2 linked regions of the Daphnia pulex genome follow. The protein of the gene in region 2 purifies or fractionates together with the protein of the main gene of each other region. This does not show direct contact. Links are inferred from orthologs where the notes say so. Each region holds a gene or a part of one and is shown on either strand. Other genes may lie near its edges.

Region 1 (4,361 bases), on a different chromosome or scaffold from region 2:
GTTGAGGATTTCGTAATAAAAGACGGAAAAGTTCAAGGCCAATCCCAATCTACAAATGATAAAGTTAAGTTGAGGATCGGCAACAAATTGTTAGTTAAGTTACCTGATGGGATGGGTGGGGGGTAATTCCGTCATGGCAATGTCGGAGGCGGCTTTGTAAGCCATCAACGAGTTCTCTGCAGCTTCCTTTCGGTCATTTCCTGTCGCAAATTCGGCCAAATACCGATGGTAATCACCCTTCCTGTATAACACAACGACAAAAGCAGAGGAAGGGAGTTGTGTAAAATCGTCAATAATCAATACCAGGCCATCCATCCACAACATGTCTGCGCGCACACAAAGTTGCGCTTGGCGCAACGTTTACGTACGATAAAATTGTGTACACGTTTGGTAGAGATAGTAACGACACTTTTTCTTTTCTCTCAAAGCGAAACACGAGTAGAATTCGAAATCACAGACGCTCGAGTCTCAAGGACTTTGAGAGAAATCCACCGGTGCATTTAATAGGAATGTCCAACTACTACTCGCAAGATTGAAAAAAAAAAGGCCAAGCAAAAATCGATTTACATTTTGTAGTAAAAGACTTTAGATTCTCCAGTGGTGGCTGATGGGATGAGATGCTTCTCGAGGACGCTCAAAATATCAGAGCAAATGTCCTTCAGCTCTTTCTCGACCTATAGACAAAACAGATAAAGGCACAAATCAATGAATAAAATTTGAATACATTATCCATACCTGATTGCGGTAATTGCGGATGAGTTCAAGTTTATCTTCGGCTCCCTTGTTCTCCTCTTTCTGTTCAATGGACGAGATGATGCGCCAAGATGCACGACGAGCGCCGATCACATTTTTGTAAGCCACGCTCAGCAGATTCCGCTCCTCGACAGTCAACTCGACGTCCATCGACGCCACCTTTTTCATGGACTCGACCATTTCTGCATCAACAAACAGATTATCATATAGTCTTAGCCAAAGAAACTTGTCAGAGGATCCCTTTCTCTTTTGGACAGAAAAAGATAGATACACTTTCAGACATAAAGGCTTTGCCTTCTTTCCCCCCCATCTCCCTGTCTACCCCACCCCCCACACTCGAGCGACTTTTCAAGTAGCGGATCAATAACGGCCACGGGAGGAAACACGCTACCGCCTAGTTCCGCCCGCTCTCCACACATCCAGCACGTCGCAGTCGTCATATAACCCCCAACATCAGCATCCCCACGGCGGAAGGAAGGAAAAGTACAGGGGCAAACCGAGTTGACGTTACGCACACACACACAAAACTATGTGTGTCCTCTTTTTTTCTAAGGGAGGAATTGAAAAATAAAAGTTTCTCCAGCTGGGCGTACATGTTTGAATTCAGGGAAATAATAATAACCAGACGATCGAGTTGTATGCACGGACAGGCTCTCCACTTGGATTCACATCGCAGTGGCGTAATGACAGGTTCTAGGGCGACACACCCACACCGCATTTTCTCTTCTTTCCAACTTCCCTCCATCATTGAAACGTGAAGGGGGGGGGGGGGAATAAAGTTAAAAATATAAAAACTAATTTTTTTTTTCTACAACGACAAAAGGCACGAGACGCGTCACGTGCGACAACTATTTTTTCGAAAATATGTGGAAATAGAAAAACGCCCCATTCATACCAGTTGGAATATTTTCCTAAAGGAAAAAGACGAAAAATAAAAATGGTGGCTAATTTTCCATCGGGTTTCTCCGCCCACTGTCAGAGCTTGACCGATTCTTGGTTTTTGTAAGCCGCAGACAGAAGAGTCGAGAGAAAAATATAGAAGAGAAAATTAACCATCACAGGCGGCCATTGTTGTGTGAACGGTTTCCTTTTTGATGTCCTCGAGAGAGAGAGAGAGAGAGAAGCTTTTTTAGACGGCACGTTTTCATCAACGTAGCCAGGACCCCCAACGCATCACGCACATAAGGGTGGGGTACTCTACCGAGCGTCGTTTTGAAGAGATCCGTCGCCTTGGTGATGCGCAATGGTGAGAGGCCCAAGTTGAATAGAAACGACTACGTATTTTTCACGAAAAAGAGAATAAAAAAGTTATTGGAAAGCAAGTATACAAAGAGACAGTCCAAAGTCTCTGCTCTCTCTCTCTCTCTCTCATGACTCATTGATCCAAGTCATCTCGTTACGTAGCGGTAGGTTTCGAGGAAAACCACCCAGAGATACACACACACACCGGACACACACCCAGAATTACTTTTTTTTTATTTCGTACTGCGACAAAAACCCTCAAAAGAGATTCTAGAAAACATGGCTGAGATTATACTATACTTGATAAAATGGAATTGTCAGGAAAAATGAACCTCAAGTACGAGTGTCATATTGATCGAAAGTATTCAAGCCAACACTAAGAGGGGGGACGCCGCTGAATTTCCCCATTACACAACCGAATGTACAAGAAAAAAGACAAAAAGTCAAAACGTCATAAGTCTGTCAAACGCCCAAGCCTTTTTTCAAAGCCGCCTACCGTCTCGTTCGGTTTTACCCACAGAGATGCACAGTCATAGAGACACAGAGGAAATGAAACTTCATTCTTTTTTTCGATTTTACATTTAAATGACATTTACGTACCATCGTATCTTTCGGCTTGTTCGGCGAGTTTTGCCTTGTAAACGTTATCCTCTCTGTCTGCCATGGCTGCTGGAATAAACTATAAGCAGATGTCACTGGATAAAGAAACAAAAGCGAGACCGTTGGAATCGGAACCTGCCTCGAATTGTCTCGACTAAGACCAAAGAGTGTAGCTAGCAACTGAGACTCCACCGTACGCTTGCTAGAATGCTTTGCCCTGTAGCTAAAGCGGAAAATGCCAGCGAGAGTCGATGGGATGGGAAGAGGCCAGATTGCCAGATCTCGTTTCTTATTACCTATGCATCTAGCAGCGTACAGTGCTGACATCTATACAAGGCCAAACACCTTTGGGGGCTGTCTAATCTTTTAGGTATTTAATTAATTCTTATGAAATAAAACTTTTATTCAAATTTTCTATTATCCGAGTAATGACATGTTCATTCTAATCATTTGATTCTATGCATACTTTTTGTGAATTCATTATTGGATGTCTAGCAACCATCTATTTTGTTACGTAAATATTATTTTATCGTGTTTTTAAAAAGCTTCAAGTTATGAAATCAAGTCATTTTATAGTATTGAAATAATTTTTATAAACGATTTAGTTCGCTGTGGGACGATTGAGATCCCTTGGTTACAAAAGAGACAGCCGCATGGTGTCTCTAGTGGACAATTAGCAATTCAATGACTTGCGAGTTCTTTTGGCTTTTGCGGACCTGAAAGTTGACTATCGAGGAAGCCCAGACGATCCTGCCCAGACGTACCCTTGTTGGCCTTGCAGGCCTGCATTCTTCTCGATACAGCTGTCAGCTTGACCACGCCTGCCAAGCAGCGATGCCACATTCTTTTGTTTTCCTCAGTGCTTTCGAAACACCTAATGTGCTATGTGCATTGCACACGTAGAGCTTTTCCGTCAATGCCATCTCAACGCGAATTCCATTGCAACTCATGTTTATTTCATCATATAAAAACTCACCACACGAAAGTCAATAAATCTACTTCATTTAAAAACAAAGGTTTATTACTCATTCCTTGATTACATACAACATGGCACAAAGGGGCGTTCATTATCACACTTCTGACATGGCCCATGAAGGTGAAACAGAAAAAAAAATTGCATGAAAAACACTTCCATTGTCGATATCCGCCATTGCAAACAAACTCAAGAAAAATATTTTTGGCGTCATTCGAAAATCGTGCGAGTGAGGCATGTCTCGTCGTCTTTTAGTTTTTTTCTTATGAGTGAACAAATTAATACGTTAAAAATGACAAAACTTAGGGAGAAAATAAATGAAAGGTAATTCAAAGGTAATAAGGAAGTCGATTCAGTCCTTCATGCGGTTGCGTCATCATTGATTCACCAACAAGGTACGCCAACTTGTGCGCATACTGGATGGGCGCTGGAATACGCAGGGTACCCTTAAATGAACAAATTGGTTAAATTCAATTCTGAATAAAATAGACAATAAAAATAAAAAAACTTACAGGCCAATTGTAGTAAAGATGGGTAAGAGCATAAGCCAGTCGCTGGTGAATATCAGGGGCGATTCCAGTGTCATCTTCAATAACATTGTAGCTGGTGGGAGAAACGGTACCTTGCGTAACTTTTTGAGACACCAGGAAGAAGTCGAATCTCTCATTGAGCGTCACTTTATTGTCGACAACCGTGCCGCAAGGAGGGTTGCTCGCTCCACGTTGTCCCATGGCGAAAAATCGCGTGTTGATCCGCTTGCTTACGACAATGAACGCAATGGGTGGATTATACA
Region 2 (4,330 bases):
AAGTGACAAAACAAGTTTGCCAAATTGCAAATTAAAGCAATCCTAATTTTAAAAAATAATCATTTTTTTTTTTGAATTTTGCTTCACCAAACAATTGTATTTCATGTGTACCATGAATTTAACAGAAAAAAAATATTATCTTGAAGAAAAATAAGCAAACATCTAGAATATGATTGTGAAACATCGGGCCGCATCTTCGACCGAAGACGGGCCCTTTCCTTTGTTGATATCAAAACAAACAAACAGTAATGACTTAGAAATAACTAGAAAATAGAAGAGATCCTTGACAATAGCAAAAATGCCGAAAGAAAGTGGTTGAGTATGCTAGAAAGTAAGGGTAGGCGCGTCGTGATGGTCCAAAATATCTATTGAAACAAAATGAGTATAAATGATAGAAAAATAATTCTATTTGAAGACATTATTAATTAATTACTCCCTTACCGGCAATAATCGAATACCAAGGGACAGTGACGTAAGTAAGAAGCGCGTTAAGAGGCACCGACTGAGCACGTCGTGACTCTTTCAAGTAATGGAAGGTTTGGGTGAATCCTTTCATAGTCCAAAGTGGATTACACACTCCATCGTCCAATTCTAAAAAGAAATCATTGGAATAAAAGAAAAATTAAACACAAGAACTCTCTTCACAAAAACGCTGAAACAGTAATAGTATATGAAACCATCAAAGGGAAAGCAAGACAAAATAAGCTTATGAAAAATAATAATGGCACACCGGTGCGAGGGCCAGCAGGTTCACTGGACCGAGCCGACTGACCGTCACGAAAGTGAACTCGGTTTCCGTCCACCAGCTGCTTGAACGTCGCACCCGTCTTGCGGCCGGGCACGTCCGTTGACTCCGGCTCCTCAGCCAGCATGCCTAGTAGATATAATACAGCCAAAAACGATGCCAATAACAATCAACACAAAAAAGAAAGCGACTGGCATGCGACATAAAATATTTAACGAGCAAAAATACAACCTAACAGAAATGTTTGTTAAATTTAGTTAATACATACGCAGGGTTAAAAAAAAAAACAACATCAAAGTATACCGAGTAAAAAGAAAACTGAACAGTGATTTAAGTGTAGAATCGTGATTCAAGTGTAGATGCACTTACCGTCTCGAACATCACCGGCCTCGATCTCATTCCAAGTATTGTTGCACTTATCAAGACCTTCATTCTCTGAGCGGGACATGTTAGTAGTCCCGTTCATTTGATGACTAGTGTTGGGTCGTTGACAACGGTTGCTGATTGGCATACCTCCACTTGGCTCGCTCAAACGTCTCTAAAGAAACAAGCAATTATTGAGATTTTGATCGATGGCTATAGAAAAGGTTTCTATCAACCTGTCGGGTGTTGGAGCACAAGTCTTCCGGCTCAGAATCCCACTCCGCGTCCCAAAGCTCTGTGGCGCTAAAGCCTGGTTCTGAGCATGGGGTGTCTAACCCAGAACCTGCGAACCAGCAAGAGATTAATAAGATATAAAAATAATATGCTGTGTGATCATCTGAAACAAACTTTTAGGCTTTGTTACGGCCATTTCTGAGTGGCCTTTTCCTTGGGGACCTTTCATGCGAACAAACTCCATGCGATGTGTACTTGCTCCATTCCATAAACCCATCGAAAACTTTTGGGCGACTCTTGTACCTAAACTAGCCTTTAATTTCAACAGAAAAATTTTTGTAAATAAAATAGTATACCGCAAAATTAAAACTAAATTTTTACTCACTCTAGAATCATAGACTTTCTTTAAGGCTTCGTAACGAATAGAGCCCAAGAAAAGGACTCCCTGAGGGACTCCACGTCTGTTGGTGGCAACAAGTTCGACGCAAACCATCTCGCCATCTCTTACGAGCATATCTTCATAAACCTTAATTTAAAGTGGATTAATAAACTGAATGAACTTTGTTGCACCTTAAAAAGTACCTCGTCAAAATTGTCCACCATAAAACAAATGTTGGGATATGTAATTTCTTCTAAATCACCTTTAACGTCCATTCTTCTACGACTAGGTGAGGCATACACCCTCTGTGAAAAATAATCAATAGTGTTATCATACATTTTTATTAAATGCAAATTATCTGGGTCATACTTGACAATGACGCTTCAAAACCTGAAGATCTTTAGGGCTTGTTCTTGTGCAAACTGCCAAGGTTAACATGTAATCAAATTGATGAATGATCAAGTTCAAATATAAAGTCTCCTCCCACGCCACGTCGGGATCTCCAATGGGTAGCTTTTTACTATCGCGACGGAAAACTTCAACTTCAGTCTAAAATTGATGAACACTTTATTAAACAGATGATTACTTTAAATGTGGAATTAATAAGTGATCTGACCTCAAATTTCATTAGAAATCGTGTTGATCCTTTGATTAGCTTTTTTCTTACAAAGAATAAGAGATCATCAGCATCAATACTTTGATCTGATTCAAACAGGAAGTGCCGAACAAACAAATCAGTCCAGTATGGTGTTCCATGAAGGAGCACAAAGTCTGAGTCTAAATAATAGAAAATTAGTTTTAACTTTTAAATTTTTCAACGGAAAATAAATATATGCATTTACCTTCTCTAACATATTTTCTCCGTTCCTTTCTCCTTTGAAAATTGACTTCTTCCAATAGCTGCTCCAAAGCATTAGGAGACCGAGTATTAACAGAGTCTACCATGGAACTCAATTTATCCCAACTAACAGCCATAATGACTGATTGCAAAGAATGTCAGATTTACTGAAGATCTATAATTGGAGCATTGATAATTGTTTGAAATGCTTTCAAATTGATTTGATGGACACCCAAAAGAGAACATGCATTACTGAAGAGCTTAGTAATAATCTAAGAGACAAAATGAGATTGTGACATTTGAGAAAACAAACAGGTTCAATATTTTCTGTCTATTTTGACACAGTTGACATTTGAAGGCAACGTCGAACTATTTATTTTTCAGGAAAGTTTCTAATAACACATACATAGCTGAAAATGAAACGAATATTTTATTCACTTTTAATTGATTTTCGCTTTATTATGTTTGAAAACTTTTAATTAAAAAATTGTATTTTTGATTCAAAAATACAATTGACACCGCTGTGATGTCAAAAATGTGTCGTCTGCTCATTCCAAATAAAATAAAAAAATCACATGGCGCCGATCGCACATGCGTTTTGTAACTACTGATTTAGTCGTTTTCTTTCGAGTTTGATTAAAATCTGATAAAAAGCTACATCTAAACCGTGTTCACTACCTCAACATCTCTGTTCAATCAATAGTTGACTTCTGTTCTCATTGAGTGGTATTGTGACGAAACTGTCAACTGTCTTTACATCTGAAAACGTTGCTGAACTTTTGAATAATGGAATTAGTCCAAAATGATGAATTTGTTATAGTTCAAAGAAAAAGCCAAGTGAGTCTACACCAGCTGCCAAAGAAACAGGGCAAAAAATGGTACGTCACCTTTAAATTACATTTGTAACAAGCTTAACCTAATGAACAATATTTTTCTCGATAAAGGACTGTTAAGATTGGGAGAGATAAAGTCGATATCTCATCTGTGGTGGGAAAACCTCATGGGACTTTCAAGCTTGTACGTGAAAAAGATGGCAAAAACAGTGTGTTTACACTTGAACCATCAGATGAGGTTGTGGAGATGAAAGATAAAATGAAAGACCTCAACTCTGGAGAGAACAATAAAGAAATTTGGGATGATGGCACATCTCAACAACTGAAGAAAGAAGATATTGAAGAATTAAGAGGTCAAGGGTTGACTGGAAGTGAAATAGTCACACAACTAGTTGAAAACAGCAAAACTTTCCAAATCAAGACTGAATTCTCACAGGAAAAGTATCTAAACAAAAAAGAGGAAAAATATTCTGAATGGGTTGACATTCTGAAACCCAATATCAGACACTTGGCTAAACACTTCCATTCCCAAGACCCCATGCAAATATTGTAAGCCTTTCCTTTCCAGTGAAGAATTGGATAATAATTTTATTTAATAATTTTTAGGAATTTACGTCCCGACACCCTTGCGATGATTATGTCCTTAGCCAACATCAAGAGCAACGGCAAGTTTGGTGTTTTTGATGGAGGGTGTCAAGGATTAGTCACAGCTGCTATTCTGGATAGAATTCAAGGGCACGGCACTGTCTGGAACCTGTTCCTAAAAGGAACACCGCAAAAGTAAACTGCAAATCTTTTTGAATTTTCTAAATATTTCAGCCGAGTAATCAACTATGTTGTAAATAGGCGAGTGATCCAAGCGATGAACTTTACTCCGGAGCAGTTGAAGCCCCTGAAGAACTGCAGTCTCTACAAACTGAAAGAAACGCTTGCGAAAG

Evidence for each region.
Region 1: the proteins of uncharacterized protein KIAA0930-like (region 2) and 14-3-3 protein epsilon purify together in Homo sapiens (affinity purification with mass spectrometry; 4 studies listed by BioGRID and IntAct, counting the BioPlex papers as one, with this or other methods). This does not show direct contact. The link is inferred for Daphnia pulex from reciprocal best matches to the Homo sapiens genes KIAA0930 and YWHAE.

What each region holds. Positions count from the first base shown.
Region 1 is NC_060024.1:10,588,478-10,592,838, reverse strand, and holds the start of 14-3-3 protein epsilon, read right to left. Parts: upstream 2,827-4,361; 5' UTR 2,660-2,826; coding exon 2,596-2,659; intron 936-2,595; coding exon 736-935; intron 675-735; coding exon 568-674; intron 242-567; coding exon 104-241; intron 50-103; coding exon 1-49. Other genes in the region: piwi-like protein Siwi, read right to left, coding at 3,898-4,014, 4,081-4,361. UniProt on the Homo sapiens protein: Adapter protein implicated in the regulation of a large spectrum of both general and specialized signaling pathways. Binds to a large number of partners, usually by recognition of a phosphoserine or phosphothreonine motif.
Region 2 is NC_060026.1:1,163,301-1,167,630, forward strand, and holds uncharacterized protein KIAA0930-like, read right to left. Parts: upstream 3,102-4,330; 5' UTR 2,697-3,101; coding exon 2,564-2,696; intron 2,499-2,563; coding exon 2,338-2,498; intron 2,271-2,337; coding exon 2,091-2,270; intron 2,027-2,090; coding exon 1,925-2,026; intron 1,869-1,924; coding exon 1,728-1,868; intron 1,656-1,727; coding exon 1,517-1,655; intron 1,452-1,516; coding exon 1,345-1,451; intron 1,284-1,344; coding exon 1,115-1,283; intron 875-1,114; coding exon 731-874; intron 592-730; coding exon 442-591; intron 366-441; coding exon 325-365; 3' UTR 77-324; downstream 1-76. Other genes in the region: tRNA (adenine(58)-N(1))-methyltransferase non-catalytic subunit TRM6-like, read left to right, coding at 3,346-3,437, 3,504-3,941, 3,999-4,172, 4,239-4,330.